4 linked regions of the Arabidopsis thaliana genome follow. The protein of the gene in region 4 interacts with the protein of the main gene of each other region in a pairwise test. Each region holds a gene or a part of one and is shown on either strand. Other genes may lie near its edges. The genes, in order: ATARD2, ARD3, AT1G09310 and PFA-DSP1.

Region 1 (7,987 bases), on a different chromosome or scaffold from region 4:
GATGTGGCGGTTTGTATTATGTAAATGCTTGTCTTATAATGAGAGAGACCTTATTGATGATACCAATCTTTGAGGTCCAAGTAACACAACTTCTTTGTGATTGATATGTATGAGATAATTAATTTGTCTATTTTCATGGCATGATGTATGTGATATGTCTGAGATTTGCAACATTCTTCTATAAAGTTGAGAAATAAGGGTAGTTTAGTCTTTTTAACCAAAGATTTTTATTTATTTGATCTTTTCCCTGTTTTAAAAAGAAGAATCGAGTAATCGGGTGGTTTTGAAGACGAAGAAGGACTAAGACATCACGAGGAACACGATGGGTGAAGCGGTCAAGGTATGTTTTTATCTTTGTCTCCTCTGCTTCTGATCTGTTAATGCCAATCGATAATTCCTAGTTTTGCGATGCAAGCATGAATCGTCGATTGTTATCTGAGTGATTTGATTCATTTTCGACGATTTTCGAATCATCATAACTACTTCTTTTGCTCAAATCTCGCAGTCAGTTTAATGCCTATTCGTATTCAATTTAGTTATGCAATTGACGATTTCTCGAATTGTCTGAAGTTTTGAAGCTAAAATCAGATTAAATATAAAATATCTGAACATTGCCTCCCAAGGAATCTAATCCCATCTTGATGTGCTTTTGCTTAGGATGGGAGAGAAGAAGTGATTCAAGCTTGGTATATGGATGATAGTGAAGAGGATCAGAGACTTCCTCACCACAAGGATCCTAAAGAGTTTGTATCGTTGGACAAACTTGCAGGTCCCCCTCTTTGTGTGTTTCAATTCAATGTTGTTCTCTCTGCTTCTCTATTTTGTTTCACATGTAATGTTTGTGTGCAGAGCTGGGAGTACTTAGCTGGAGACTTGATGCTGATAACTATGAAACCGATGAGGATTTGAAAAAGATCCGTGAATCTCGTGGTTACTCTTACATGGTTTGTGGTCTTTATTTATTTACTATCCCACTAGACTTGAATGGTAGATGTTTATTTTTGTCCAAGTCTTATTTTAACTCTCTAGGGGTTTTCTCAATCTTGGTTTGATGATTAAAAAGTGTTCAAAATGCAGGACTTTTGTGAGGTATGCCCGGAAAAGCTTCCAAACTATGAAGTGAAAGTGAAGAGCTTTTTCGAAGAACATTTACACACTGATGAGGAGATCCGTTACTGCGTTGCAGGAACTGGTAAGAACTTCTTTTACTGGCGGCTTTACTCGTAAACTTAAAATTTCGATATAGTAGTCATGTTTTATTTTCTTGGGAAAAAGGTTACTTTGATGTGAGAGATCGTAATGAAGCTTGGATTAGGGTATTGGTAAAGAAGGGAGGTATGATAGTCTTACCTGCTGGGATCTATCATCGCTTCACTGTGGACTCTGACAACTATATCAAGGTGCAATGTCAGCTTTTCTTCTAGCCATTTATTTTATAGTTTGGGCTTGCTTAGAAAATTGAAATATCTTGTTGAACAGGCAATGCGGCTATTCGTGGGTGAACCGGTATGGACACCATACAATCGCCCACACGACCATCTTCCTGCAAGGTACAATGTCCTGGGTTTTCCCCTTTTGTTTGTTCTCTTATGCAAACAATGGGATATATAATCAAGCAAGAAATTCTGTTATTTTACGAGAAATAAATTCTGATATTTTACAGGAAAGAATATGTCGATAACTTCATGATCAATGCCTCGGCTTAGAGAGCTTCCTCTCTCTATATCTGGCTTTCTGAAACAAGGATCTATAAACAAGGCCTACAATAAAGAAAGCTTTCCTGTCAAGTATTGGATATTTATATGTATTCCTGTGTAGAATGATGGCTTTTGGTATGCTTGAGTTGTTGTAAACTTAGTTACACTCTCTGATATGTCTCTCTTTACCATCTTTGTCGTATCCCATATACGAAAAGATTACATTGGGATTCATATTGTCTTACGTTCGTTCCTATGTGCAATATGTTGAGTTTTTACACAAATCTCTATTCTTTTTTATTTGCTTTTCAAAAACCAACAAATTAGAAGAAACTAATAAGAAGTAATACGTCCAACCGCGTCAACTTCTTTGGTTTAATCTAAACCATGGTTCGTTTGGTTGTTGTTGTGTATCTTAACATGCTGACGGTTTTAAGGATGGTTCGTTTGGTGGTTGTTGTTATCGAACATGTTCACGGTTCTAAGGAAGAAAAGTGTGGTTTTGTGTATTTGTGGTTGGACATAAGATTTTCGTTTTCGTTTACATTTGTGGCTTTCTTTTGTAATTTCCTTTTAGAGTTTGGAATCTCCTTAAATCCGACCTACATTAACTCTATAGTCTATAGAATTGGAGTAATCATTTTATTCTCCTATCTTAATGGATTACAATAAACAGTAGTTGAATGGAAGAAAAAGGGGATATAAAAGTAAACTTAGCAAGTTTAGCAGCCATGATTAGGCTTATAATAATTTATGTAGACGTGGAGCTTACGTGGCAGTCTAGGGAGTTTCCCTGCTCCGGGAACAATTCCCCCAAATTGACTCCCCCATAGGAAAAACTATTCGACCTCACTCTCTCTCGCCACTGTTCCGCTCTCTCTCATTCTTCCTAATTTTACCCCCAAAACCTCCGATTATTACTGAAACGCCACTGCTCTCTCGCCGGGATTCCGGTGAAGAGGAGGAGATGGATGTCGGAGTTTCACCGGCGAAGTCTATACTTGCGAAACCTCTGAAGCTACTCACTGAAGAGGACATTTCTCAGCTCACTCGCGAAGACTGCCGCAAATTCCTCAAAGACAAAGGTTTCTTCTTCTTCTACCTTTCTCCATAGTCTTGTTTCCTTCTCCGATTTGCAGCGGAAGTCAAATTTTGAAATTCTCTACTCTGTCGGAGCTTTTTTTTGCTTGTTTATTCTGAGAATGGAGGCTGACACATGTCGAAATAGGAATGCGAAGACCGTCGTGGAACAAATCTCAGGCGATCCAGCAAGTTTTATCTCTTAAAGCTCTCTATGAGCCTGGAGACGATTCCGGCGCCGGTATCTTCCGCAAGATCCTCGTTTCTCAGCCAGTAAATCCGCCTCGCGTGAGATATTTACTTCGATTTTGCTTCTATTTCTCGTTTAAACTCACAGATTGAAAAAAGTGAAAATCTAAGTTGCCTTGTTTGTTCTGATATCTACAGGTCACAACAACGTTGATTGAGCCAAGCAACGAGCTGGAAGCTTGTGGCCGGGTTTCTTATCCGGAAGATAACGGCGCGTGCCATAGAATGGATTCTCCAAGATCAGCTGAGTTTTCCGGTGGGTCTGGTCACTTTGTATCCGAGAAAGATGGCCACAAGACGACTATTTCTCCCAGGTTTACATTTTCGTATTTGAATTTTTTTTGATACCTTTCTGCTTCTATGCATCTGGAACTGGAATGTTGTTTAATTCAAGAAAAGTGTAATGCATTGCATTATTAAGTTTGTGATATTAGGAAGTTTTTGGTTCAATATCACATCCTTAGAGACAGAATCTATATATGGTTCAAGGCATTGATGGTGGATTTGTCAGATAGTATTTAGGTTGGCCACGATCGTGTGATCGAAGATCATCTTCGTTATGTCTTAGTATCCTGGATCTCTTTAGAAATGGAAAATAATAGTCAATATGACTGATGTGACTTGAAATAATAATTAGTTACTTGAATTCCTTAATGATATTTTGTAAGTTAGAGGGTTTTTTCCCTAGTCCATCTACGAAAGCTTAAGAAAAGGTTTTGCTGCATGTGCCTGTTGTTCTACAAGCATATTAAACATTCTTGTCTGTAATCTTGCATCAGAAGCCCAGCTGAAACAAGTGAGCTCGTTGGGCAAATGACGATATTCTATAGTGGAAAAGTGAATGTGTATGATGGAATACCACCTGAAAAGGTAAATCAATAACATTATTCTGTCCAGTCTGAAAATAGAAATTTTGTTGGCATGTTTTTGATCATTCATCCTTTGTATTGGTTTGCAGGCCCGGTCAATCATGCACTTTGCAGCCAATCCAATTGATTTGCCTGAAAACGGTATTTTTGCTTCCAGTAGAATGATTTCAAAGCTCATAAGTAAAGGTAAGCTTTTGCTAAAGTGTCTGATCTGTTTTTCAGTTGATAGATAGATGATTCAAACATGAAATGATTTTGTTTTGTGTATCATCAAACTGGAAAAAGTTCATGGACCAGCTTTTCTGACGCAGTAGAGCTTTTTTATTTATTTTCTCTTCTTGCAAACACTGCTTTTGTTTTGTCCAACTTTGAAAGGAGGCATGGGTAGTTGACCAAGGAAGTATGTCTAAATGTTGCATTGTGCTATACTACCTTGCGTAAAATATCCAAATGCCTCTTGCATGTTTTTGTGATAGTGATTCCACTTTCCTTCTTCAGAGTCTAGTTTGAATTAGTCAAAAATCAAATTGAAAATGTGAAATCTTATTGCAGAGAAGATGATGGAACTTCCCCAAAAAGGCCTTGAGAAGGCGAATTCTTCTCGTGATTCTGGTATGAACAGTATTCATATTACCTTAATGATTCTCGGAGCGAAACTTGATCAACACATCTTCACCTGTGCAAAGCTATGCTAATGTTGTTAACTTGGAGGAAACTTGGCTTGCTTGTTGTTCTGCATGTTATATGACCTGTGAAGTTTATTAATCTAACCGTCGTTCTATGTTTTTTGGGTCGTTCTTAAGGTATGGAGGGCCAGGCGAACAGAAAGGTATCTTTGCAAAGATATCGTGAAAAGCGGAAAGACAGGTGCATTTATATACTTACGCTTATTCCAAAATCGCTATAAACTGATATGTTTTCGTAATGTGCAGAAAATTCTCAAAGGCCAAAAAGTGTCCAGGAGTTGCGTCCTCTAGCTTGGAGATGTTTCTGAATTGTCAGCCACGGATGAAAGCTGCATATTCGCAAAACCTAGGCTGCACCGGATCTCCACTGCATAGCCAGTCACCTGAAAGCCAGACAAAAAGTCCCAATCTTTCAGTTGATCTAAACAGTGAAGGTAAGAAGAGAATCATATATAAAGCTTTGTTAAATCAGTGGTTTGGATGATTTCCCTCATAACTCTCCTCGCTTGGTCTCCAGGCATTTAACAAGATACCGAAACGTGGAGATGCTATAAGCTGTGAATAGGCGTTGAAACAGTTGCTTGCTTGTAAGCTCAAAGATATGAAGAAAAGAAACCTCTCTTCGGATCGGCCTTCTTTTGTGTTTCCGGGGTTTTGCACCCATAATTTTTGGTCTATAGTTTTGAGTAGAGCTTAGTAGGTTAGTGGTAATTTCTTGTTTCTGATTCTTTTTGTGAGGATATAGTCACAGAGAGTAGAGACAAGAGAGGTGAAAGAAGGGCTTTCATTTTCTAGGTGTTGTAATGTGTAAATGATGTCTTACTTGACACTTTTAACGAGAGAGACCTTTTAGCCAAAGTGTTTCTTACTCTCGACTCGAGTCTTACTTTGACACCACCAAACTTCTCTTCTTTTGTCCATTTTTAACCCAGTTTTTAACTTTTAACTTTGTTAACTTTTTTACAATAATTACCACTCTAACTAACGTATTTACATTTTCTCAAACCTCAAAAATGTGATAAATAGTCTGAAACGGATATATGTGGAGGCGGCATTTCCCTCGCCGCACGCCGGCGGATGGAGGGTAGTTTAGTCTTTTAACCTTTTTCTCTGTTTTTGTCCCAAAAGATAAAACGAAAATGACTTCTTTTGAAAAGGAGAGAAGGCATATATCGCGTGGATTTGAAGACGAAGAGGAATCATAAAAAGCCTAACGAAGAAGACGAAGAAGAAGAGGAACAAACAACCATGGGTGAAGTGGTTAAGGTAATCGTAAATCTCTTGCTTCTGATTCTGATTTCGTGAAAGCTCATCGGAAAATTTCTTGTTTCAGCTATGAAAACATGAATCGCCGCCGATTGTTAATTAAGTGGTCTTCAATCACTGATCACTATTCCAATTTTGATTTTTGTTTTATTTTAATCATCAAATTTGATGTTTTCTAGTTTCACTTGTTGTGTATGAAATTCAGGCTTTGTCTTGGAGGTTGCAATCGAAAATTTCACTAATTGCTGAACGTTTTTTGTTTCTCTTTCAAGCTTAGCATCATAAATTTATGTTTTCTTGTTGTGTTTGTGTATGTGTGTTTTTGCTTAGGATGGAAGAGAAGAAGTGATCCAGGCATGGTATATGGATGATAGCGAAGAGGATCAGAGACTTCCTCACCACAAGGATCCTAAGGAGTTTCTATCTTTGGACAAACTTGCAGGTCTCTTTGTGTGTTTCAATTCAGTGTTCTTCTCTCTGTTTCTCTATTTGTTTCAGATGTAATGTTTGTGTGCAGAGCTGGGAGTACTTAGCTGGAGACTTGATGCTGATAACTATGAAACCGATGAGGATTTGAAAAAGATCCGCGAATCTCGTGGTTACTCTTACATGGTTTGTTTATATAGACTTGAATGCTAGATGTTTACTTTTGAACAAGTCTTGTTTTAACTCTCTAGGGTTTTACTCAATTGTAACACTTACTCTACTGAATGTATTTAGGAAAATTCGTTGATGATTTGCAAATTGTTTTATGTGCTTGAGTCTTGGTTTGATGATGGAAAAGTGTTCAAAATGCAGGACTTTTGTGAGGTATGCCCGGAAAAGCTTCCAAACTATGAAGTGAAAGTGAAGAGCTTTTTCGAAGAACATTTGCACACTGATGAAGAGATCCGTTACTGCGTTGCAGGAAGCGGTAAGTACTTTTATTGGCTGCTTTACTTGATTTAAGTCGGTATCTATATTCTCAACGTTTCATTTTCTTGGGAAAAGGTTACTTTGATGTGAGGGATCGCAATGAAGCTTGGATTAGAGTATGGGTAAAGAAGGGAGGTATGATAGTCTTACCTGCTGGAATATATCATCGCTTCACCGTAGACTCAGACAACTATATCAAGGTGCAATGTTAGCTTCTTCAGAGTGGTTAATTCATCATATATATATTTGGTTGATTAGAAAATTGAAATATCTTGTTGAGCAGGCAATGCGGCTTTTCGTGGGTGAACCGGTCTGGACACCATACAATCGCCCACACGACCACCTCCCTGCAAGGTACAATGTTCTGTTTTCCCCTTTTGTCTCATCAAAAACTTACTCTGCAAAAGTTCATCCAAGAAAAGACACGAGAAAAGCTGTTTATGGATATCGAAACGGCTATTTTACAGGAAAGAGTACATCGATAATTTCGTGAAGGTGAATGAAGGTGGTGTCATAGACGCGTCAGCCTAGAGGATTCTCAGTCTTATGCATCAGATTTCTATAAACTAAGCATACAATAAAGAGAGCTTTCTGTCTCATGTTGGATATTATGTCATCTACAGATCCACTTGTGAAGAAACTTTGATTCGTGTGGCTTTGGCATTATGGTTGTGTTGTAACTGTATTTATAGTTTATACTCCAGAAATCAAACTGTGTTACATTATCAATCTCTCCAAAGTTTTCCTTAAACTAGCAAAAAATCACAAGTAATTGGCCAACCATGGAAGATCCTTATTGTCTTTCAATGCAAAAGCAACATCATCACTTGGAAAATTAAGCTGCAGCTTCTGCAATCTGTGCTTCTCTCCAGGTTCACAAAGAACGATTCTGCATTCACCAAGATCACAACCGATTTTGAGAAGAATGTCCCAACCGGGAAAAGCTTCACCATTGGTTAAGCAAATAGACGATACTGTTGTTGCTACTCTGTCAAAGCTTGTCTCTGCCATTCCTGTTTTGTAAAGCTCATGAACCATAGCCGTCAAGAAGATCCTACTCAGTTTCGATACACTCTTCATAACTTGAATATGAGGTGCCTGAAACATCTCTTGAATGGCTACTTCAACATCTGCCATAATCACCAGCTGACTCTTTGCAGATATGTTACTCTTCTTTAGACGGTAATCCGCTACTTCCGCTGCACGCCTGCATATCTCAAGCGCG
Region 2 (7,833 bases), on a different chromosome or scaffold from region 4:
AGAGAATCTTTTGATTTCCCTCTGGAGGAGACTCCACCGGTTGACCCTTCACCTTCTTCTGTTCATCGTCCATATCCACCGCCTCCCCCGTTGCCGGATTTTGCTCCTCAGCCGTTGTTACCACCACCGTCTCCACCTCCTCCTCCTCCGGCATATACCATCAATACAAGAATCTATGGTGAGTCTAAAGAATCAAAGAATAGACAAGCTTTAGCTCTTGCATCGGCTGTTGCAGCCGAAGCAGCTGTGGTAGCTGCACATGCTGCCGCGGAGGTTATACGTCTCACGACCCCATCAACACCTCAAATTGAGGAATCAAAGGAGGAAACTGCCGCAATCAAGATCCAAAATGCGTATAGATGTTACACGGTATACAAAAAAATCACTTTTTTTTTTTTGGACAAAATACAAAAAAAATCACTAATTCCTCTTATTATGAAAGACTTAGTCTAATATTTTGAAATTTCATAGGCGAGACGCACTCTTCGTGCGCTGCGAGGAATGGCTAGACTCAAAAGTTTGCTGCAAGGAAAATACGTCAAAAGACAAATGAATGCGATGCTTAGCTCAATGCAAACTCTTACACGTTTACAAACACAGATTCAAGAGAGGAGGAATCGGTTATCTGCAGAGAACAAAACTCGTCACAGGCTGATCCAACAGAAGGGTCACCAGAAAGAAAACCATCAGAATTTGGTAAATCTCGTTACATTTTTTGTTGAATGAATGTAAAATTTATTCAACCATGTTTACAATATATGCAACCGTTCATCTAAAAATATGACAAAATTTAAAAAGAGTCATCCCATTGTTATGTGGTAAAATCTCCCTACATTTTACCACACTGGGTGAACCAAAATTCTGAACTGGAGCATATTTTGTTGTAGGTTACCGCGGGAAATTTTGATTCCAGCAATAAATCAAAGGAACAGATCGTGGCAAGGTCGGTGAATCGAAAAGAAGCTTCAGTAAGACGAGAAAGGGCATTGGCGTATGCTTACAGTCATCAGGTAAATATAAATTAAAGACAACATCATTGTGAACTTAGTCATAGTTGTTTATATATTGATGTTGGAAAATAAAACAGCAAACATGGAGAAACTCTTCAAAACTTCCACATCAGACTTTGATGGACACAAACACAACAGATTGGGGTTGGAGTTGGCTTGAGAGGTGGATGGCTTCTCGTCCGTGGGATGCTGAATCCATTGACGATCAAGTTTCCGTTAAAAGTTCTCTTAAACGCGAAAACTCGATCAAGAGTTCTCCTGCCAGATCTAAAACACAAAAGTCAGCTAGCCAAAGTTCTATTCAATGGCCTGTAAACAATGATACAAAGAGTAGAAAGATCGAGGTTACTAATCGCAGGCACAGTATCGGTGGTGGATCATCTGAAAACGCTAAAGATGATGAAAGCGTTGGTAGCTCATCCTCGCGCAGAAATTCGTTGGATAATACACAAACTGTGAAATCCAAGGTTAGTGTGGAAACAACAAGCAACGTGAGTAATGCACAAACTGTGAAACCCAAGGCTAATGTGGGAGCAAAAAGAAACTTGGATAACACGAAAACTTTGAAATCCAAGTCTAGTGTGGGAACAACAGGAAACTTGGCCAACACGGAAGCTGTGAAATCTAAGGTTAATGTCGGAACAACAAGTATGCCAAAGAAGGAGGTTGTTGCTGATAAGAAGAAACCTCCACAGATGGTATTGCCAAAGAAGAGGCTTTCATCTTCTACTTCTCTTGGGAAAACAAAGAAATTGTCGGATTCGGATAAAGCAACAACTGGTGTTGCAAATGGAGAGAAGAAGAGAAGAAATGGTGGTAGCAGTTAACCTAAAGTAATAGCCTTATCTAGACCAAGATATTGCTTTGGTGGCGGTTTGATAGATTTAGCATCTCAAATGTGAGATTTGTTTTCTATCAACGCAAATAGAAAAGAGAAAGAAAAAACAAAAAAACAAAGAGTGTATTTTGAAGACCTTATTTTGATTGTTTTCTTTGGGTGAGTACAAATGATGTATGTCTGTTTCGGTTTGGTGTTTATCTGGTGGATTATTTGTTTACATTTTTTAAAAATTTAAACCATTTATTTCGCGTTAATGTTTGAAAATAGTCGTTGAAATCGATTCAAAATGACATATGCAATGGTTACAAAAAGTAAACGAGAGTCTACGTGAACTGGAGCTGGTTTGTGACAAAGTTTGTTATCAATTTAAGAGTTTGTTAAAACCAAAAAAAAAAAACAAGACATTGTATCGGGATTGTAAAAATTTGGATTGTGGAGCTCTCAATGAATATGTACAATTGAGTCTATTGCTGGATTACGTTCTGGCCGAGACATATCAATCAATCAGACAGGTTGCTATGAATTAGTAAACTTCATGTAGTGGATCATTCTTCCTCTTTCTCTGTAATTTGTCCGTAATAACATCATCAAACTCAAGTTTCTCAAAGTTAATTTTAATTCAATTAATAACTTCGAATATCACACATATATGATTCATGCCGTTAATATTTTTCTTAGCATGGTCTTACTGAAAATAAAATTTAAATATTACTATGAAAAATTATATAAATCACAAAACTAGTTTGGTTTTCTTTTGTGTAGAAAAGATTATCGGAAATAATTTCATGTTTATTTATTTATTTTTACATCAAAATTTTAAAATAGAAACACAATTTTCCATTAAAAAAATTCATAAGATTCCAATGAGCTTCCAAAGTAATTTTTTTGGAAGCCTATATAGTCTTAGATTTTGATAATATTTATGAAAAAAAAGCTAATTCTGAAGTACACTGAAACAAATAACAAATACATGACGCTTCCATTTTTATTTTTTTCTAACATGAAGCTTCCTTACACGTAGAAAGTTAAGTACATCGAAACAAATACCAAAGACCTGAGAAAGTGGATAGAAGTCTTATTATTAAGAACAATAATTGATAAGAACAAAGCATCTTATTATTTAACAAATGCAAATAGAGTAAATAGAAGTCGTGAGACTTCGTGACGTCATCACTTCTTCGTCATCTCCTTGACACTTCGTGACGTCCTTGTCTTCTCGATAAAGGTGCCTAAGAAATGGAAAGAGTGGTTTTGTGTTCTTACTTTACATTTTTGCACACAGAAAAATGCTAGCGGTTTCCTTTTTTATCTATATAAATGGTTTCTTTCTTTCTTCATTTTGAACACAAAAGAAGAATAACCATGGGTGAAGCCGCTAAGGTAATATAAACTCTTCCTTCTTGATTTAGGATCTATTCCCATTTACTTTAGAAGTGTTTTTGCTTAGCATCAGATTGATGTTTTCTAGGATCAAACTGAAGAAGTGATTCAAGCTTGGTACTTGGATAATAAGGAAGAGGATCAGAAACTTCCTCACCACAAGGATCCTAAGGAATTTGTATCTTTGGACAAACTTGCAGGTCTGTGTGTATCTTCATTGTTGCACATACTTTTATTCTTTCACGTAGGTTAATAATGTTTTTTTTTTTTTTTGTTCAGAGCTTGGAGTACTTTGCTGGAGACTTGATGCTGATAACTATGAAACCGATGAGGAATTGAAAAGGATCCGCGAATCTCGTGGTTACTCCTACATGGTTTGTGACATTTATTTGATGCCTTTTTTTAATATCTTCCTTTGTTTGGTCTTTTTTTTTAACAAAAAATAAATCTTCGTTTGTTAGTTGATTATTAAATATTCGTTTTTGATTCGCAAACATTTGGATGTTTGGTTTTAGGACTTATGTGAGGTGTGTCCAGAGAAGCTTCCAAACTATGAAGAAAAAGTAAAGATGTTTTTTGAAGAACATTTACATATTGATGAAGAGATCCGTTACTGCCTCGCAGGAAGTGGTAGGTACTTTTATTCGCTGCTTTAGTACTTAAATAAATTCGATATGGTGCTCATTTATTTTATTTTTTCTTAAAAACAAATCAAAGGATACTTTGATGTGAGGGATCTCAATGATATTTGGATTAGAGTATGGGTAAAGAAGGGAGGTTTGATAGTCTTCCCTGCTGGAATATATCATCGCTTCACCGTGGACTCGGACAACTATATGAAGGTTCAATCTTAGCTTCTTCTAGTTATTAATTCATACTATATGAAGGTTCAAGTAATATATTTTTGGTTGCTTAGAAAATTGGAATTTTCTTATATATTGAACAGGCAATGCGTCTTTTCGTGGGTGGACCAGTGTGGACTGCTTATAATCGCCCACATGACCATCTTCCTGCAAGGTACAATGATGTCTTGTTCTCCCATATTGTCACGACAAAGCTTACTAGATCTGTAGTTATATATCTAAGCAAAGAGGCGACAAAAGTGTTTATGTATATTCAAACGGCTATTTTATAGGAAAGCGTATATGAAAAAATTCTTGAAGGTGATTGGGGACCGTAACATAGACGCTTCAGCGTAAAGAACTCTCGGGGATCAGATTTCTATAAGCTAAACATATGTTTAGATGTTGTCTTTAATTATGCTTTATTATGTTTACAACATGGAAACCGAAGACATTTTGGTTCATGTGTCTTTTGGCATTATTGTTGTGATTGTAATGTAAAGAAGAAGGAAAATGACAATATATGAAAGCAAGAAAATATATAAAACTATCGGTCACTATTAGTCTCAACCTACTGGTGTCTATGCATAATACATGATATACATCCGTTACTGTAAATAAATAAAATGATTATTTGAATTGAACACATTACTTATGGAGTATCCATAATCTCATGTTTTTAGAATTTGTACCCAATGATAAATAAAATCAAACAAAAGAATTTCTAGTCTTTTGTTATATTCTTGCCTCTTGGTGACTAAGAAATCGATACATTTAACTAAAAAAAAAAAAGATAAAAAAGAAGAAGAAGAAATCGATACATGTACACATCAAGTATATGTCTTGTTATTTTCCAGTTCATGTTTACTCCCTCTGTTCCTAAAAAAATAATGTTTTGGGTTTTTCACACAAATTAAAAAATGTAACTTTAATATTATTTTTATTACTTTTCTATTAATCTAATAATATAAATTTTACTTCTCTTTTCTCTCTATTGGTTACTAATAAAAATAATAATAATATTAACCTACAACATCAAACTTGATGAAACAAAAATAAAACTCAAAACATCAAACTTTATAGAACAGAGGGAGTATAAGATTTGGCTGCTTCAGACATTCATCTCAACCTTTTTCTCTTTCTTTTCTTTTCTTTTCACATGCACGTTAGTATATATTGTGGTGTAAAGTGTAAACTTTCGCTAGGAAATCACGTTCTCTAGCAATGATTTGGTTTTAAAAACATTGTTTTCCCCCTCTAATAAGATTATTACTCTGTTTTTTTATTTTGTTTCTCTTTGATATAAGAGTCGGAATCCACCAATCCAATTGACAGACGGTTCCAAAATATACATGTAGGAGACACCAAAGCAAGAAAGATTTATGTTCAAATGAGCTAATTAACATAGAAATATATTTTAAACTGAAAAAGATAGCTCATTGGAGTTTTATTTAAGTGCTAGAAAGTAAAGAAAAAGGAAATTTACTTTAGAGAATAGCCAAGCTATGATAGATTCCTAGATTGAGATATAAAATGATGAAAAAGAGAGTTGTTCCAAATGGCAACTCCCAGAGTTATAAAATCGATTTGGAACAATTGGTTTATGCATATGCCTTATGGGTAAAAGGATGAAAAAGAGAGTTGTTCCAAGTAAATTGACCCATAAGGCATAAATTAACCAAACTTCAAGACCTAGTTTATAGTTAATGCCAAGTACTTCCAACGAAGTCCATGATACGACTTTTCCACACGCGGTACTTTATTACTTCTAAATCATTTCGATTGAATAATTCATGTGCAGAAAATATATTTAAAACAAAAAATAGCTACTAGTATACTTGAAACAAGCTATTTCATCAATCATCACATCTGCATATTCAGAACCATTCTTATATCTTCCCGTACACCTCTTCTTGGAAAAAAATGGAGTTAGGAAAATCAATTGAGAACCAAAACAACGTCGTGGCAAGACTAGCAAAGAAAGTCATTGAAACAGATGTCGCCAATGGCTCCAATGTTGTCTTTTCACCGATGTCAATCAACGTTTTGCTCAGCCTCATCGCCGCTGGTTCTAATCCCGTCACCAAAGAAGAAATCCTCTCATTCCTCATGTCACCGTCTACGGATCACCTTAACGCGGTCTTGGCCAAGATCGCGGACGGCGGCACCGAGAGAAGTGATTTGTGCTTATCTACGGCTCACGGTGTCTGGATCGACAAGTCTTCTTATTTGAAGCCTTCCTTTAAAGAGCTTTTGGAGAATTCCTACAAGGCTTCTTGTAGTCAAGTTGACTTCGCAACCAAGGTAACTTTTTTCGTTAGGGATAAATTTTGCTTCAATTATTATGGGACCGAAACTTAGACTAATCCCTATAACATAGATATATAAAGGTGAATGTTCGTGTTATTTAAGACGTTTAATGTGGTTACGAAGGAGACGGCTATATCACATTCTCTTTTTTTATTTCTTCAATTTCTTGTGTATATATGACATCCAACTTCACTAATGATTGGTCAATTTTTATCGCTTGGTCATGAAGCCTGTTGAAGTGATTGATGAGGTAAATATATGGGCTGACGTCCACACAAATGGACTCATCAAGCAGATTCTTTCACGCGATTGTACCGATACTATCAAGGAGATCCGTAATAGCACACTTATTCTAGCAAATGCAGTGTACTTCAAAGCAGCATGGAGTAGAAAATTTGATGCAAAACTAACAAAAGATAACGATTTTCATCTTCTTGACGGTAACACGGTAAAAGTCCCCTTCATGATGAGTTATAAGGACCAATATCTAAGAGGCTATGATGGTTTCCAAGTTTTGCGCCTACCTTATGTAGAGGATAAACGTCATTTCTCCATGTACATTTATCTTCCTAATGACAAAGACGGACTAGCTGCTCTGCTTGAGAAAATAAGCACTGAACCAGGATTTCTTGATAGCCATATTCCACTTCACCGTACACCAGTCGATGCTTTGAGAATTCCGAAGTTGAACTTCTCTTTTGAGTTTAAAGCTTCAGAAGTTTTGAAAGACATGGGGCTTACTTCTCCATTTACTTCCAAAGGTAATTTAACTGAGATGGTTGATTCGCCTTCGAACGGTGATAAACTGCACGTCTCAAGCATTATTCATAAAGCTTGCATTGAGGTGGATGAAGAGGGAACCGAAGCTGCAGCGGTCTCTGTTGCCATCATGATGCCCCAATGTTTGATGCGGAACCCGGATTTTGTAGCTGACCATCCATTTCTGTTCACTGTGAGAGAAGACAATAGTGGAGTAATTTTGTTCATTGGTCAAGTTCTTGATCCTTCTAAACATTGATTGAACTATGTCGTGTGATGAGCGTTGTTCGGTTTGCAATAATGTAGGAAACCCCGTGGTCTTAGTGTGCTTTTCCATTGTGTCTCCTACTTAGCTGGAGAAAACATTATGAAATATGTTTGTTGTATTTTGTCTATATTTATGGTTTGGTGAAACTAAGTTTGCTTCTTCTTCTTTTTATTGCTTTGTGTAAGTTCTAATAGTGTACGTTCTTGTCTAGAAACCATTGTCCTCATTTTCTATCAAATGAACTACAATCCGGAGCAATTTATCTTGAAAATCTCAGCAAATAGATTACACATATTCTCTGCATTTTTATATATCCCGAATCATTTTTAAATCTATGGCATATTGGTCTTATAAACCTTTATCAAAATATGGGTTTACGTCGAATCTACCTTTTTCCGACTTTAAGGCAGACAATCTTGGTGA
Region 3 (6,964 bases), 1.6 Mb from region 4:
AGCTAAAAATCTAGAGACTTTTGATATCCCAAAAGCAAAGCTTTTTGAAATTGAGAAATCAAACCCCAAAACCCTAAAAAGCTGATTCCTTTCTTTGATTCTCACTACCAATTCTTCCCGCCAGTTTCCTTTCCCCGATTCATCCTTGACACTTGCAACGCCATGTTGCGGCCTCGCCGATCTCTTGGGGTTTCATCTCCGGCGAAGCAGAGGAAGAAAGCTGCTCCTAAGAATTCCATGGCTACGAGAGCGAATCGAAAGCGTCTCCCTTCTTACCTCAAACCTGGCTCCGCCGTAGAAATCAGCTCCGACGAGATTGGATTCCGCGGCTCGTGGTACATGGGAAAAGTAATCACCATCCCATCTTCCTCAGATAAGGATTCCGTTAAATGCCAAGTCGAGTATACGACGCTCTTCTTCGATAAAGAGGGGACGAAGCCACTGAAGGAAGTTGTCGACATGAGTCAGCTTCGTCCTCCGGCCCCGCCAATGTCTGAGATAGAGAAGAAGAAGAAGATCGTGGTTGGGGAAGAGGTCGACGCGTTTTACAATGACGGTTGGTGGGAAGGGGATGTGACTGAGGTTCTGGATGATGGGAAATTCAGTGTTTTCTTTAGGAGCTCTAAGGAACAGATTCGGTTTAGGAAAGATGAGTTACGGTTTCATAGGGAATGGGTTGATGGAGCTTGGAAGCCTCCATTAGAGGAAACAGAAGAAGAGGAAGATGAATCAGAGGAAGACAAATTAGACGACTCAGAAGACGAGGAGGTAGGTAACACATTCTCAATGATACTTGATAACCTTTCTGTGGAAGTTGTTTAGTGGAGACTTTTGCTTTAGTTCTTCTAGAGCAATTTATGAGAATGCACTTTAATCATGATAGTAATAAAATGCAGGATATTTTAGCCCGAGTGGATCTAGAAACTACCAGAGCAATCGCGAAACAAATGTTTTCCAGTGGCACTGTTGTCGAGGTTAGCAGCGATGAGGAAGGTTTCCAGGGGTGTTGGTTTGCAGCTAAAGTTGTTGAACCCGTTGGCGAAGACAAATTTCTTGTTGAGTACCGAGACTTGAGAGAAAAAGATGGTATAGAGCCTTTGAAAGAAGAAACCGATTTTCTGCACATAAGGCCGCCACCACCAAGGGATGAGGATATTGATTTTGCTGTTGGTGACAAGATTAATGCATTTTACAATGACGGCTGGTGGGTAGGTGTTGTCATAGATGGTATGAAGCATGGAACGGTTGGTATATATTTTAGGCAATCACAAGAGAAGATGCGGTTTGGAAGGCAGGGGCTTCGTCTGCATAAAGATTGGGTTGACGGGACCTGGCAGCTACCACTGAAAGGAGGGAAGATAAAGAGGGAAAAGGTTCTGTATGATTTCCATATTAATTATGAACTCTAGACAAGTTCACATAGATCATTCTTATCCCATTCTTCTTTATGTGCGACATATTCTTCCCCAAATATGTGTGTTTAAAGTTTTTATTTTGATGTGTAGACTGTTTCATGTAACCGGAACGTGAGACCCAAGAAAGCAACTGAGAAGCAAGCGTTCAGCATTGGAACTCCGATCGAGGTTAGCCCTGAGGAAGAAGGATTTGAAGATTCTTGGTTTCTTGCAAAACTTATTGAATACAGAGGAAAGGACAAATGCCTTGTAGAATATGATAATCTGAAAGCTGAAGATGGGAAAGAGCCTTTGAGAGAAGAGGTTAATGTTTCACGGATAAGGCCTCTGCCACTAGAGAGTGTCATGGTTAGTCCATTTGAGAGGCATGACAAAGTTAATGCTTTGTATAATGATGGATGGTGGGTTGGGGTGATTAGAAAGGTTCTTGCAAAGTCATCTTACCTGGTTCTCTTTAAAAATACTCAAGAGCTGCTAAAATTTCATCACTCTCAACTAAGGCTACATCAGGAATGGATTGATGGAAAGTGGATAACATCTTTTAAGGTATGGTTCTAAAACGATCAACTCATTTTATCACATATAACTTCGTTATTTCCCCTTATATCTAAGGTTTCAGCATCGTTCCTGCAATAGTCATTTTTCATCAAGCTTTTACTGATGAAGTTGCTGTCATTAATTTTGATTTCAGTCTCAGAAGGTGTAAATGGGCTGGATAACTCGTCAGGATTTTGGGATTTCAAGTTTTGTTTTTCTTTGAGGTACTTGTATCTCTTAGTCAGTTAGTCTTAACCCTGGTGTTCCCTTGCTATTGTAGATAATTGCAGTTATGATGAGTGACTAAGATGCAACAACCAGTTGATATTTTATTCTTGTTCCATGACATAGTGCGATTCTCATTGCTCCTGATTTCGGTTGATTATTTGATAGACAAGTTTTTGCTGTAACACTACTTCCTTGCCTTGTTGATTATCCATCCTATTGTCAAATATTTTTCGAAAGAGGTAGGCCATATTACCTACGAAGTTTAGCATCTTATGAATGTTAGGAGTGTATGCTCTCAGTTTTGCTTGCGAAGAGGTTTCCCATGTTTTTGAAGTGACATACAGAACCAGCTGTATTGTAGTTTATAGATAATTAAGGATAAGTTTTAGTGGAACAGGATGATATTGATATCTTATTACAGGTAAAACAAGCAGCAACAAGTGGTAGGTAGATAATACATGATAGTTAGAGCAGTGAGAAACACTAACTCTCCATGATTTGTTCAAATTCTTGAAGTACACTTAAAAATTCGGGTCTCTTTTATCTGCTGAAGCTGAGCTGATTAGGCCGCCTCTTTGACTGCGACAGCCTCCTTGATTGCAACAGCCTCCTTGGCCTCGGTGGCTTCGCTGCTCTTCTCCTTGGCAGGTTCCTCTTTGGCAGGTTCCTCCTTGGCAGGTTCTTCTGGGACTATAAAAGCTGTGACCGGGAAAGTCCTGGACAGTGTGGTCGGTGTCTTGAACGTGATCTTGGTAGGGGGTTCCTCGGTATAGATCTCATTGATAGTGACCCAAATAAGAAGTTCCTTGGCTTTGACTCCAGTGAGCTTCTTGATTTTCCCGGTCTCAACAATGGCTGTGACTTCGGTTCCATAGGAGACAAGCTTATCTATCTCTGTGAACTTGTGAGTGATGCTCTTCTTCTGCTTCAGCCATACAACACCTGACTCTCTGTCATACCCAACCTCTTCTATATCCTTCAATGGTAATAAACCATTGGGCATAGATATTTCCTTGAGGAAACACTTTGTCTTCTCTCTACATATCTCATCTCCGGTGTACATCTCTGCCTTAGCTCTCACCTCCTCTGTAACCAAACCCATCTCTGTTTCTTTGTATTTAGTTTTAGCTGTCTTAAAGCTGAAGTTGTGTTGTGGAGAGGTAAGGGACTTAGCCTAGTGATATATAGCTGACGTGTTGTGGGTTTGCCCTTGGTTTCCTGATCTTATTACGGAGAATGCCACCATGTTTAGAAATTAAATTGTATGTGAAATACACTCGGATTGAGAAGATACCTTTGACTTCATACAATTTTGGCAAATTTATTAGTTTTGGTATCAAATTGAGACCAACCCTATTATAAAATAACGGTAAAAAACATCACTATCGAAAACGACGTGATCGATTGTTCTTCTACTACAAGAAATTTGAAAAAACCGACAAGACCATAATGTAAAATCTAAACTCTTGATTCTTGAAGATGAGGTGCATGTAAAATCATTAATGGCCATGGTTGGGCAGGTTTATGGGTACGTCTTGTCAGCTCTGTGTTCCAGTTTCGGGTTAAACCATATATCTCTTACATGATCGTTCATATGGCTATCATCATCACAATATTAATGATGATGATTATTGTGATGTGGTGCATGGCCCCGTCCATATAAATGCAGTGCCTATCATTTCACATTCTCTCCACCTGCTAACCAGTAACCGACGGCCTCCTCAATTATTTTTTATATGATTTTAATCGAATAGAACATCTATTTCTTGGGCGTTTAGTGTTACGTGTTAAGGATGACATATACTATTTACTGTATAGTGCATTATTTATTTCTTCTATCATAAAAGCAACCATAACCAATAAAGACTAAAGTTCACATAACTATAAGTGTTCCAACTCCTAACTTATTGATTGTGATATGTGACCTTTCTCGTAGTAACTCGATGTCTTTTGGTTTTGCTATTTACAAATTCCACACTTCAGAATGCGTAAGATTTCTTCAAAATGCTTTGATACATTCTATGAGTCAAACGCAAGGAACAGGAGTTTACGTTTGAATTATTATCAATGATGTTTAATTCAAAACAATCTTCTTGGGTTACGGTTCGTATGCAAGCCTTTAACCTTGCAAAGAGAAACTGGCGAAGTTCGCGCAGAGTTATCATGGCAGTGATTATTCAACAATGTCTCTATGTGTTTGATCTCCTTAGGCATTGACCCTGTGAGCACTTCGTAGCCCGTCTCAGTGATCAGTACGTCATCCTCGATCCTTATCCCAATCCCTTGGAATCTGCAATGAGAAATTTCAATAGTAAAGTCACTTAACCATGGTCGATAGATCAATGTCATATCCTGCGGTCGATTTGCAGTCAAACCACTCAGATCTACACAGTTTGATACTTGTTGGCTGCAAACTTTCCTACAAAACCACGCTTTTACATGAAGTTAGTCTAAAGAGAGCATGTGTACCTTTCAGGGCAGTCAAATGAAGATGGAATATAGACTCCTGGCTCAATCGTAATCACCTGTCCAAACAGCGATCATAAGTTGACATCGAGAGTCTGAAAGATCATTATCTAGCAAACACCAAAGCCAGTCATTTGATGTAATTTAGATTCTATTGATAGCACCATCAAACCATTTGTCTCAAACGTAAGGACCCCAATGGCATCACATGACAAATACATAAACTTCTACGATCAAGATTCTAAGGGCACATATCGGTTTTAATGGACTAGCATCAACAAGCAGAGTGTTTGAGGCAGGGGGTATGTAGAAAAGTGAAGATCTTATTAGCCTGAGTTTGGGTTGCTTATAAAAACTAAGACTCGAGAGAGTAGTATTACTTACAAAACCAGGTTGCAAAGGACGGTCATATCCCACAGCAGAAGAATCATGCACATCCATCCCAAGGTAGTGGCCTTTTTATTAACCAGAAGAGAGCTCTGTTAGATAAGTTTTTCCCCAACCATACAGTATATTTTGGTTATATTATAACTTTTATACAGCATAATGCGGGACAATAACAAGGATTTTACCATCTACACGTCAATCAGCCTTAGTTGATTGTATTTCATCGACAAAAATTGCAAATAAGTTAATGTGATCGAGGTTCAATAATGCATACCTATGGAGGTCGGATTCAGCTGGTGATACAGTCTACGACTTTTCAGGATGCCCATCTTCATCAGTCCATCACACAACAACTCGGTCTGCAAACCACAAAGCATCATCTGAGTCCAAACATAATTTTGTTTGCAAACAAAGCTTTTAAGTTTTCTGATGGTATTTATGAAATCTTTTTTTTTTTTTTTTTTTTTTTTGTCGAAATGGTATGTATGAAATCTCTGATCCATTTTAGCTTCTGAAATATTTGCTAACAAGCCTTCGACAGAAGTAGAATAATATTTTCACATCATAGCAAACCTGTTAAGAGTAAACGGTACATTTTGTGTGTTTGATACATCTTAAGTACAAAGACACGGCTTAAGATAGTTTGTAATTACCGAATATGTGTTTAGTTGGCGGATGGTTGTACCAGGCTTGCATTGTTTTATGCATTCTTTGTTTGTCTGAAGTATAAGATCATATAGCTCTTCCTGGAAAAAACACAAATGTCAATATTTTGATAGAGAAAGTTTTAAGAAAGCAGCTGTACAGTTACTTTTCATCTGTGTAACATAATTGTGAAATCGAGCGAAGGTCACCAAAAAAAACTATGTAACCTGCACATGTCCAAATTCTGAAGATTTCCTAAATCAATATTATAAGGAAAAAGCTAGCCTGTGAAACGTATATCTCAGAAAAAAGTAAGAAGTTTGGTAGTAGAGAATGAGATAGTAAGTAAGGTTTATCTCTCGTTTGCATCATACAAACACCACCGGCAAAGCACAAACGTAAACAGAAGAATATTGAACTACCAGACAAAAAAAGATGAAAGATGAGACAGCAGAAACATCAACCTGAACAGAACTGAATTTTCCGCAAGGTGGCCATGTCCGAGTAAGATCACTAACATAACCATGTAACTCACAACCCATGTCCATCAAGACAAGATCACCATCTTTAATCTGCAGATAATTATAAAAAGAAGATACTGGTTTCAGGAACATCTCTGTACTAGCAATCAAATAGGGTTTTGTCAAACTTACACGCTGATCATTTCGTGAATAGTGAATAACACTGGCATTTGAACCACCACCGACTACAGGATTGAACCTGAGGAATAAATCATGTCATTTTTCTTGTCACTAGAATAAGAATACTAGGAAATACTTATTGTAATAGACCCTGAATCACATATTTATTCATGGAATAATTGTCGAGACTTACGCCATTCGCTGAGCACCTCTTACCCGGCACTCATATTCAACCTGGGCTGATAAGATGCCTTCATCAGGAAACCCCTTTGAATGTAACATTGTTTTCAGAAGACCCTGAGGATGAAAAGATCAAAATCACTCCATACGCTCATTGTCTGTAATAGCTATTATTTTCAACAAATATGTAGAAAATGGTTCATGACGTTTTATTGGCTCTATGTTCCTTTTCCTTAGCACTTTGGCCACAAGACAAACGTAAAATTTCTAATATATTCACTTTCACATATCATTGAGCAAGGCATTGCTTTCATGAGCCTCCAATCACAATAAAACACCCTCAACCAAAATTGTCCCATCAGGCCATGGCTTGGGAGCTTTTTATGGGTGTGTTCGTCACTTTGTCAGATCAATTCTTGAGATTAAATTCACTATATACACACACAATTGTCTGCAAAAGTTATC
Region 4 (9,338 bases):
TCATTGTGAACCTAGCTAGACCTTGGCAGCTTGGCTCTTTTTCAAGTTTTAACCATCGGTTTTCCAGAGAATAATACTGAATTACCTACTGACTATACAATTTTCTTGTAATGAAAATATATGATTTTACTAAATAAAAATAAAATATCATCCAGATAGGGGTAAAAGGGTAAAATAGTCAGAACAATGTAATTCTTCTGGCACAAGAAATCTTATGCTTCGCAGTTTGTAAAGTGGTTGGGACCCACCGGTAGAAAAAGGGACAGAATCGGAGGTTACGATTCGCTGGTCACTGGAGCAGCGTAAGAGCTGTGATCTTTAGACGTCAGTATTACGCCACGTTAGCTTACGAGGTAGTGATCCTCTGCTCTGATGACCACCTATGTTCTTTTCCGTGATTTTGACGCTTTTCTCTTCTACTGGTTTGACCGTTCCAAATACTTTTTATTACACGTCAACAACATATTAAACAAAAAAAAGTAAAATGGATTCGGCTTTTTGTTATTTTTCTTTTGACTCTCCCCTTTAATTAGTTTCCTATGACTTCAAGTTTCCGTCTCCTACTAGATTAAGGTAATGTATGTGGAAAGGGTTTTTATAAAGTATGAATTTTGGACTCTGTATAAAAATGGAATTCCTGTGATTTTAAAATGAAATTAGAGTTATGTACATGCGCATTGATGGTGTATTTCCCTATTAGCCCTAAGAACGATCGTTCGTTAATTATACAATTAATCATTTATTGTTGAAGAGACAGAAACAACATCCAAGAGAGAGTCCAAAGGACGGATCCATTACAAAGACATGTGCAAGAGATTTTCTTAGTCTCGTACTCCTTTCGGTCGGTTTCTCCAACAAATGGGCCTTGGCAACAGGTAAAATAATACTATTGGGTCTGTTTTGTAAAATCTTACGTTTTCTGAAATGGAGGATGTTGATACCTTTACAATGGGCCTAAGGTCCCATAAATTGGGCTTTAAAGGGCCTCTTTTTGATACTTCCTTTTTTCATTTTATGTCTTGATGTTCGAAATCTTCTATGTAAACAAATTTTTTTTGGTTTTAATGTCAAGAGAATATGTGTGTGTGAACAATTTATAATGACCATGTTACATTTTCGTCTCGTATGTTTAAAATTCTTGTTTTTATTTGAAGTTTTCACATAATTATTTGAGGGAAATATTAAATGATCTTTTTGCAACTCTAATAAAACGTTAGTAAGTGGCATGCTAAATATATAAATGATAATACACCAAGAAAATTGAAAGTGAGCTAAATATATCATTCCTAACAAATAGTTGATAAATTCTCAAGTTGATATATTGTACTAGATATTAGTCATAAATAGAACCTAACTATGAACCAATAATAGGTCTACAAATGTGGGGCCAGAGACAAGAGAAGAAGTCACGACTTTGAATCTTGATGATCATGGATGAATGGATATCATGCATGAAAAAATTAAAATTTCTATGATATGGAAAAACGACAATAATGGACGAAATCTTTGTACGTCAAAATCGGAGACTTAGATCGTTAGATGCATGCAACTAATTAACAACTCCAATAACTTCAATTGAAAATGTGCGTATACTCACTCTCATGAACGGTCTTCTCGTATTGTTAATTCACTGTAATCCTTTTGCGTTTTGATACGCAACTTCGGAATGGGCAACGGTATAGCGAGGCTTACGTATGCTTTGGAAAAACATTAATTCATATATTAATGTTTTATATTCCGTGAGAAAATTTCAATGTTTTGGAAAATTAGAACAAATTAGAACAAATTCTCGAAAGATAAATTGAAGGCATTATGATATTTTCGTACGTTCTTTTTACGGAAAGTTCTTTAACGGCATCCAAAACGCTTTCGTACGTGGCCGAGTGCTCGCGGCGCAATAATCCTTGAGAATCATAAGGTATATTCCCTGGAATGTACCTTTTTTGTTTTTCTTATAAAAAAACTATCTGGTGCATTTTGTTTTTATGGAGTAATTTATCCAATTAAAGTCCAGTGTGGGACACTAAACATTACAAATTTTATGTCTTTAGCTTAGTTATCATCTGTTTTTTTTTAATTAGAAAAGAGTAGTTTTCTGGTGTGAGTGTTATGTGGAAGACAAATATGTGACGTGGATTCTAATAATGTATTGTCGTGATGTGGTTCTTTTTGCATTATTTCGTTTTGATTATGTAATAGACATATATTTAAATGGTGCGATTATGCACCGAAGAAAAACATTCGTCTCCATTTTTCTTTATACGAAATTTGACCCCAAAAAAAAGGTAAAACACGGCGTCCGTGTTATTATGTAGTATCATGTATGACAGAAATGGCAACTACAGTAGATAGTTTGGACCGAATTTTATTTTCACACAATTAAATAGTTATTTCAAGGCAGTAACAAATTGGTGGAAAAAAAAAAAAAAAAGGCAGTAACAAATATTAAAACCGAATATTGGCTAAAATTATACATTTCAAAACAATATTATGAAATTGTTTAACAAAACAAAATGTGAAAGGAACATAGAAGTAATTAATGTACTCAGATTACGATCCCATAGAACTTAAATAAAGGTGCGTTTATGAATGCCAGATGACTCAGATTAGTGATTGTTCTTCCCACTTAGCAGAGTAATTGCTCTTTGTCCTTTGGAATCTCTCTCTCTCTTTTTATTTCTCTGTGTTTCGCTTGGAATCTATATTTTCGCTATTTCCTGGAATGATGATATATATGTATGTTAGTATGTAGTAGTCAATATTTTTGTATATTGTGAATAAGTGACTTTTTCAAGGTAAATATAGGTCAGAAACTTCAAATTCAAAATATTAAATATTATAATATTGGTGAAAATATATAGTCAAAAAATGATTTTAGGTTCGGTTGATAATTTATTCAATGAGAGTGATTTACCCGAATAAGATGATTGTGTGTGAGCAAAAAGATTCCACAATGATGCCAATTTAAGCTTCAACAAGTGCTTTCCTATTAACAAGAACAATTTATGTAATATCATTTTTTTCGTTTGTTTTGCAAAACTGCAAAGTCATTTTATTTTGTTTACTTTAATAATCCTTGAAAATGTTATAACAGTTATTTCCTCAAATTAGACCATCATACTATTATTATTGTTATTATCAACCGTTGATAAAAATGGTAGTAGCATGTACAACTAAGATAGACCGTTACAAAATTCGTGTATTGTTAATTATTATATAGTTTCCGTATGTTGCTGTTTTCAGCTCAACTTGAGTAAATATAAAATATTAAACTGTTTATTCTAATATTGGATTCTTTTGTGTAGTGGCAACTTATTTTTTTCTAAGCTTTTTTTTTTTACAGATTACGGATTTCAGTATGAAATTGTAGATCCAATCAACTATTTTCACATATGCTAAAAGGTATCTAAAAAGTAAAAACACTTAACAGATTATAAACAAAAAAGCTTTTAAGATAAATGTCACAAATTCTTTAAAAATAAACAAATAAACAGCTATTGACAAACAAAAAATAAAAATAAAAAAGGAGTCCTTGCTGGGTCCATCTCCTTTGCGTTCTTTTTCGTCTGTTGAATTTTGAACAGAGTCACAAGTCTCTCTCCATATAAACCTCCCCAAGGTCGACGCTACGTAACGACCATCTCCATTACTCGACTCTCCTCACCTAAAGATTCAACCTTTTCTCTGTTTCCCAATTCAGAGATGAAGCTTGTGGAGAAGACGACTACTACAGAGCAGGACAATGGAGAAGATTTCTGCCGCACCATCATCGAGGTTTCCGAGGTTAACAGAAACGTGTTTCAGGCTCCGGGCGGTGAAGCTGATCCCTTTCGAGTTGTCTCCGGCGAAGAACTTCACCTAATTCCGCCGCTCAACTTCTCCATGGTCGATAACGGTATATTCCGGTCTGGATTCCCTGATTCAGCTAACTTCTCCTTTCTCCAGACTCTCGGTCTCCGCTCAATCATGTAAAAGCTCCTTCCACATTCATGACATTTTGTATACTATATATCAAACTTTCGAAATTGCTGATTTTAGGTTTTTTCGAATTTGTGAAGATACTTGTGCCCGGAGCCCTACCCAGAGAGCAATCTCCAGTTCCTTAAATCCAATGGAATCAGGCTTTTCCAGTTTGGTATTGAAGGCAACAAGGTAACCATCTTTCTTCTCCTCTCTCTTCATCAAGTCTCCGTTTTTAATTGCTCTGTAATTCTAAACCTTACTTGGATAGTTCACTAGGAGAATTCTCTGAATGGAAAAATCATATCTTGCTGCAGTGTGTTCCTGACTTAGACAACGAGATTTCCTTGCATTTATGGAATTCTAAGCATCAGAAACAGGGTCCCTTAACTAATGGACTTTCGAAAACTTTGGTACACACTACATATATTAACTGGAACACGATACTATTTCTGGAATATATCATAGTTCATTCAATTTGAAGGGTTTTATTTGCTTGATATTTATTGCCTAATTGTTCTTGAAAATCCTGTCTCATTGTTGTTTACTTTAGACTACTAAAACTGTTTCTGTGTTTTCTTTCTCTTGAATTTGATCCTTCATGGGCACTCTGTTCCAAGCCATATTTTATTATTATGAGTTTACCAGAAAAAGAACACATCTTTCTTTATTGTTTTGCCTCTTTGGCTCTTTCCGTCTCTCTTGACCTCCACTGATTTGGTCCCACTCTTTGTTTTTCTGCCCCTTCAGCAACTATTCCCCACTTGTTCTTTCTACTCTCTATTTATAAAATTAGATTATGGACTACGTCAAAATATTTGCTGAGCTACTTGTTGCTAGTGTTGTCAATGATCCCACTACTCAATAGCTTACTTTCTGTTGTTATTGTTTTCTTGGTTCATGTTTATTGAGTGTGCACTTTTTTATACAGATATGATATCTTATGAAATCATACATCAGCGAAAGTGTTTTTGATTGTGTACAAGTAAACCGTTTTTTATGGTAAAAACTTGTAGAAAGCGTGTTGATCGTGAAAGTGTCCATATTAGCTGTAAGGTTTGAAATCTAGATAAGGTTAGGAATTGCTGGGAAAATGATAGATGGTTACGTTGTAAGTCGGTTAATGTTGTTTAATACGTACCTTTAGTTCCTTTCCTTTTCTATGTGTTAGTGGCTCATGTTTGGGCAAATCGTTGGTAAAGTGATAGAATAACCAAAAACTTCACCATAGAGTCTTGAACTTATTACCCTCATGAGTTACCATTCGCCTTTCCTGAAGAGATGGGTATGAATCTAATTTGAGTTGATATGTTTGAAAGAAAATATGTTTGTTCTGGTATGCAGTAGCTATCATTCTCTCCCCCCACAGAATCCACCTTTTCCCTGTCGATTCTACTCCTAGGATAGTCGATTCTTTATGTGGGGAGTCGTTTAGATACTTACTACCATAGTTCCCTAGTTTTGCTTTTACACTAAAGATGAAAATAAAGTGGCTTTCTCTTCTTGGTGTAGTGATTTTATTGGAAGAATCTGGATCTCATTGACTTTTGTTTTTGTTTCTGGACTCAGATTCTTTATAATTAGTGTGACAACTTCGATCTTGATAGGAAACCTTTATCGCTGATATTCTTGGCTTGCTATGCTTTTTTCTTCTCATAGATTCGTCTTTCAATGGGACTTTGTGTTTATTCCGTGTTGTTGTTGTTGTGTGTGGAGATAACTTTTTGATATAAAAAAGTAAAGAATCTTTCTCTCAGTACGCAACCAGTAAAAGGTATCACATTAGACATGCTTCATAACTTGTAGACTTTGTCCTGTTAATGAACCTTTGCATGGTTGTCTCTCTCGACGTTGCTTGTGCATGAACCTTGATTATTAGATTGCTTTATCTTTTCCTAATCTGCTCAATTTAGTAGTGTGATTGATCTTTTGACATATAATCTTACAATTTTAAAAAGACATTTTTTCTTCTTATTTTCAGGAGCCATTTGTGAATATTCCAGACCATAAAATCCGCATGGCACTGAAAGTGCTTCTAGGTAACTATGAATCATATAGAAGCGCTGAAATAAAAGAACACATGTAACCACACTTTTTGTATGCTTTCTAATTCTAACTTGGTTTATTAACAACTCTCCTTTTAAAATCCTCAGATGAGAAAAACCATCCTGTTCTGATTCATTGTAAGCGAGGCAAGGTAAATCATTCACTCCAATCCTAAACATTTCATCTTTTGTCTCCACCACTGAAGAAGAAAATGAGTTTCTAAGTATGAATCTGGAATTTGCAGCATCGGACCGGTTGTCTTGTTGGTTGCTTGAGGAAGCTCCAGAAATGGTGTTTGACATCGATATTCGACGAGTACCAACGATTTGCAGCAGCGAAAGCTAGAGTTTCAGATCAAAGATTCATGGAGATATTCGATGTTTCCAGCTTCAGTCATATTCCAATGTCATTCTCTTGTTCCATCAGGTAAACAGGGGAAGCTAAAATCTTCAGATAAAAAGGAGAGATTAATCATATTAGAGTTCCAGAGGAAACATTCTTCTCTTTCTTTACCTTTCTCTGGAATCAATAATACTATTTCGAGAAAAGAAAAGGTTTTCGTTGTTATAATGACTTCACTCTGTTTTTTTACTGCTCAGTGTAAGCATAAAGGTAGATAATTACGTATATATATAAAGTAAACTATACAGGAGTTTGTTTAGGAATATATGTATTTTCTTGGGTTATCCCGAATGTTGCTTAACGATTATTAGCTCATATATTTCAATTCTTCAGAACATGATTTGTTATTATCGTGTGTAGAGGAAAATGCTACTACCATCAGTGTGTAAATAATTTGTTCAATGTAATGCTAAACCGAAATATATGGACTAATTTGATTTACTGACCAATCATTAACATAACTCTATAACTTCTTTTTTGAATCAGTTACGGAATTAATCATTATTTTTATTAGTTGAAAAAGACATGCTAGATGTGTGAAGAGTTTGTTAAGTCACGAATATGAAACCTAACTAAGGCCAGTACCAATTTTTAGCTATAAGTGAGTGATAGTTGTCCTTATAGGTCACGAATACGAAACACTCTACTGGAGTGTTGTTAATCATTTACTTTAATAAAAAGCATGACACCGATTCTTCAACAACATGCAAAGCGCATTCTTGCTTGCGGCTACAAGAGTTCTTTGTTCCGTTCCTATGCAACCTTATGGTCACCCGAGGCTAGCCAAACTCTGCTTATTCGGGTCAAAGCGTCTTTGCAGCAACATGAGAAACAATTGTACACCAGAGGGCTCATAAGAATCTTCGAGATTCGGATCGATTTTCTCAAAAACGCGAGTTTTTTTTATTTCTTCTAAATCCTGATCTTCAACCTATGTACCAATTTGTGGTTTCTTACATATTATGTGCTCTTGGTTGTGGTATTATTAGGCATCAAGATATATGGGTAAAGAAAAGGTGTGTACTCTGTTTCAGAAAGATTATGCAGCTCGGCTTTATCTGATTGAGACACTGTTGGGTTTAGAAGAAGCAGACAAGTTCTTCAAAAGTATCCCTTCAAACATGATTGATTACTCCACGCTCTTAACCTCTTACGCGAGATCTGACGATGTGAAACCCGACAATGTCACTGCAAACACTGTTTTGAAGGCCGATGTAAAGGCGATAAAGATGTTTATGAGAATGTGGGTTGATGAAGAAGGAATCAAACTGGAGAGAGACAGGATAGTTGAAATGGCAAAGGTTTACGTTAGAGTTTGTTTAGAGATATATGGTAACGTGGTATGGAATGCAAGAGAGTTGCTGCAAACTCTTTGGGATGACTTTAAGAAGTGCGAAGAGGTGTATCGAACAGCGGTTATCTCTTTGTCGAAACTGGATGATGTTGAAGGTGCAGAGGATATATATGGAGAGGGGGAAAAAAAAGAACAGAACGTAAGGGAACAGGTTACCAAAAAGGCAATGATGCTGTTACATGTTTTGAATCTGCTCTTGATCTTGATCACTTTGAGCCTTCCTTTTTTTGTTTGTCCTCCGAATTTGAGCATTCCTCTGGTTGTTTTGAGTGTTATTTTGACGCACATTAGTATTACTAGGCTTCTTAGATTTGTATTCTTTTAGGAAAAAGAATAATGCACTAAATTGTTCTTTGGTAATTAAGTGATGTTCTTCTAGACATGAAATGAAAAAAAAAAACAGAAGTTTACAAAAACAAAACCACTTTATAGATTAAACAAACAAAATTATGTCGCTTTTTTAGCCACACCACTTTTTCCATAGTGATTGGAAAGAAAAAGGACTCGAGTTGGAACTGGCCAAAAAGGCAAGGATGGTGTTAAATCTATAGCTGTCAAATGGTCCGTCCAGGGACCATTGGGCGTGTCCGTATGGACAGTTTTTTTTATGGGCCAAGTTGGACGGTCCATAATGGACAATGGGCCGAAAAATGTTCATGCCCAATAAAGACCATGTCCATATGGGCAAGCCCATGTATAGCCCATTTTATTATTGATAAATCAAAAATCATGATTTTAAAGAATTGTGTTTTTGCATTTTGCATTTTTCCGACAAAACGGTAAAATTGTGTTTTTCTTACCAATACAATAAAATCACGATTTTGCCGGAAAAATTATGAAATTGTTTTTTTCCGCCAAAACGGTAGAATCGTAATATTGTTTTTTCCCGCCAAAACGGAGAATTGTGTTTTCTCACCAAAACTGTAAAATTGTGTTTTTCGCCAATATAATAAAATCACGATTTTGGCAGAAAAATTACGTTTTCCCGCCAAAACCGTAAAATCGGAGAATTGCGTTTTTCCGTCGAAACTGTAAAATTGTGTTCTCGCCAATATAATAAAATCGCGTTTTAGAGGAAATTTGCGGAATTACGTTTTTCCGTCAAAATCGTAAAATCGGAGAATTGTATTTTTCCCTCAATTCATGCCCATGGGCAGCCCATTGTCCATATGGTCAAGCCCATATTATCCGCGGACAAAACTGGTCATATGCCCAATTGGACCATTTGTTTTATAGTCCAGAATATAGCCTGTCCATATGCATTTGGACTGGGCAAGCCCATGGGCCGCCTGTCCAATTGACAGCTCTAGTTAAATCACACAATTGTGACCGTTCGTTCCTTTTTATTACCTCTCCACGTATGTGAGCATTTTTCTGGTTATTGTTGTCTTGTGCAATGTGTATTTATCAGCTTTGTAGATGGGAAAATAGTAATATTCTCTACAATAAACACAGTTCTTGTATTTGATTGCCTTACTTGTTTTTTTATTATATTTGATTGCCTTATTTGTCTGCAGTTTATTCGTATTGAACTCTACGAACAGAAAACATTAATTCCCATATATAAAACACATTC

The links.
Region 1: the proteins of PFA-DSP1 (region 4) and ATARD2 interact in a two-hybrid assay, tested with the Arabidopsis thaliana proteins (one large-scale study listed by BioGRID).
Region 2: the proteins of PFA-DSP1 (region 4) and ARD3 interact in a two-hybrid assay, tested with the Arabidopsis thaliana proteins (one large-scale study listed by BioGRID).
Region 3: the proteins of PFA-DSP1 (region 4) and AT1G09310 interact in a two-hybrid assay, tested with the Arabidopsis thaliana proteins (one large-scale study listed by BioGRID).

What each region holds. Positions count from the first base shown.
Region 1 is NC_003075.7:8,424,203-8,432,189, reverse strand, and holds ATARD2 (RmlC-like cupins superfamily protein), read left to right. Parts: upstream 1-5,718; 5' UTR 5,719-5,829; coding exon of another isoform or gene 5,830-5,847; exon of another isoform or gene 5,848-5,914; 5' UTR 5,915-6,015; coding exon 6,016-6,039; exon of another isoform or gene 6,040-6,177; coding exon 6,178-6,289; intron 6,290-6,364; coding exon 6,365-6,459; intron 6,460-6,645; coding exon 6,646-6,760; intron 6,761-6,837; coding exon 6,838-6,962; intron 6,963-7,042; coding exon of another isoform or gene 7,043-7,045; coding exon 7,046-7,116; intron 7,117-7,229; coding exon 7,230-7,293; 3' UTR 7,294-7,487; downstream 7,488-7,987. Other genes in the region: ARD1 (acireductone dioxygenase 1), read left to right, coding at 323-340, 658-769, 850-944, 1,078-1,192, 1,276-1,400, 1,480-1,550, 1,664-1,706; PPD1 (TIFY domain/Divergent CCT motif family protein), read left to right, coding at 2,665-2,782, 2,926-3,065, 3,165-3,340, 3,806-3,896, 3,985-4,081, 4,448-4,507, 4,699-4,762, 4,828-5,015 and 1 more; ORC1A (origin recognition complex 1), read right to left, coding at 7,525-7,987. UniProt on the Arabidopsis thaliana protein: Catalyzes 2 different reactions between oxygen and the acireductone 1,2-dihydroxy-3-keto-5-methylthiopentene (DHK-MTPene) depending upon the metal bound in the active site.
Region 2 is NC_003071.7:11,228,655-11,236,487, reverse strand, and holds ARD3 (acireductone dioxygenase 3), read left to right. Parts: upstream 1-3,126; 5' UTR 3,127-3,168; coding exon 3,169-3,231; intron 3,232-3,319; coding exon 3,320-3,431; intron 3,432-3,510; coding exon 3,511-3,605; intron 3,606-3,746; coding exon 3,747-3,861; intron 3,862-3,948; coding exon 3,949-4,073; intron 4,074-4,177; coding exon 4,178-4,366; coding exon of another isoform or gene 4,367-4,430; 3' UTR 4,431-4,718; downstream 4,719-7,833. Other genes in the region: Iqd4 (IQ-domain 4), read left to right, coding at 1-369, 472-696, 888-1,010, 1,088-1,837; AT2G26390 (Serine protease inhibitor (SERPIN) family protein), read left to right, coding at 5,997-6,377, 6,613-7,401. UniProt on the Arabidopsis thaliana protein: Catalyzes 2 different reactions between oxygen and the acireductone 1,2-dihydroxy-3-keto-5-methylthiopentene (DHK-MTPene) depending upon the metal bound in the active site.
Region 3 is NC_003070.9:3,005,427-3,012,390, reverse strand, and holds AT1G09310 (plant/protein (Protein of unknown function, DUF538)), read right to left. Parts: upstream 3,482-6,964; 5' UTR 3,283-3,481; coding exon 2,743-3,282; 3' UTR 2,493-2,742; downstream 1-2,492. Other genes in the region: AT1G09320 (agenet domain-containing protein), read left to right, coding at 163-768, 897-1,373, 1,506-1,961, 2,107-2,121; AT1G09300 (Metallopeptidase M24 family protein), read right to left, coding at 4,260-4,470, 4,650-4,705, 5,031-5,101, 5,308-5,392, 5,687-5,779, 6,143-6,250, 6,332-6,398, 6,513-6,616.
Region 4 is NC_003070.9:1,421,958-1,431,295, forward strand, and holds PFA-DSP1 (Phosphotyrosine protein phosphatases superfamily protein), read left to right. Parts: upstream 1-3,581; 5' UTR 3,582-3,702; coding exon 3,703-3,968; intron 3,969-4,058; coding exon 4,059-4,152; intron 4,153-4,277; coding exon 4,278-4,373; coding exon of another isoform or gene 4,374-4,442; exon of another isoform or gene 4,443-5,941; coding exon 5,942-5,999; intron 6,000-6,113; coding exon 6,114-6,157; intron 6,158-6,250; coding exon 6,251-6,436; 3' UTR 6,437-6,912; downstream 6,913-9,338. Other genes in the region: AT1G05005 (PPR containing protein), read left to right, coding at 7,091-7,304, 7,456-7,913, 8,088-8,099. UniProt on the Arabidopsis thaliana protein: Cleaves the beta-phosphate at the 5-position of soluble inositol pyrophosphates.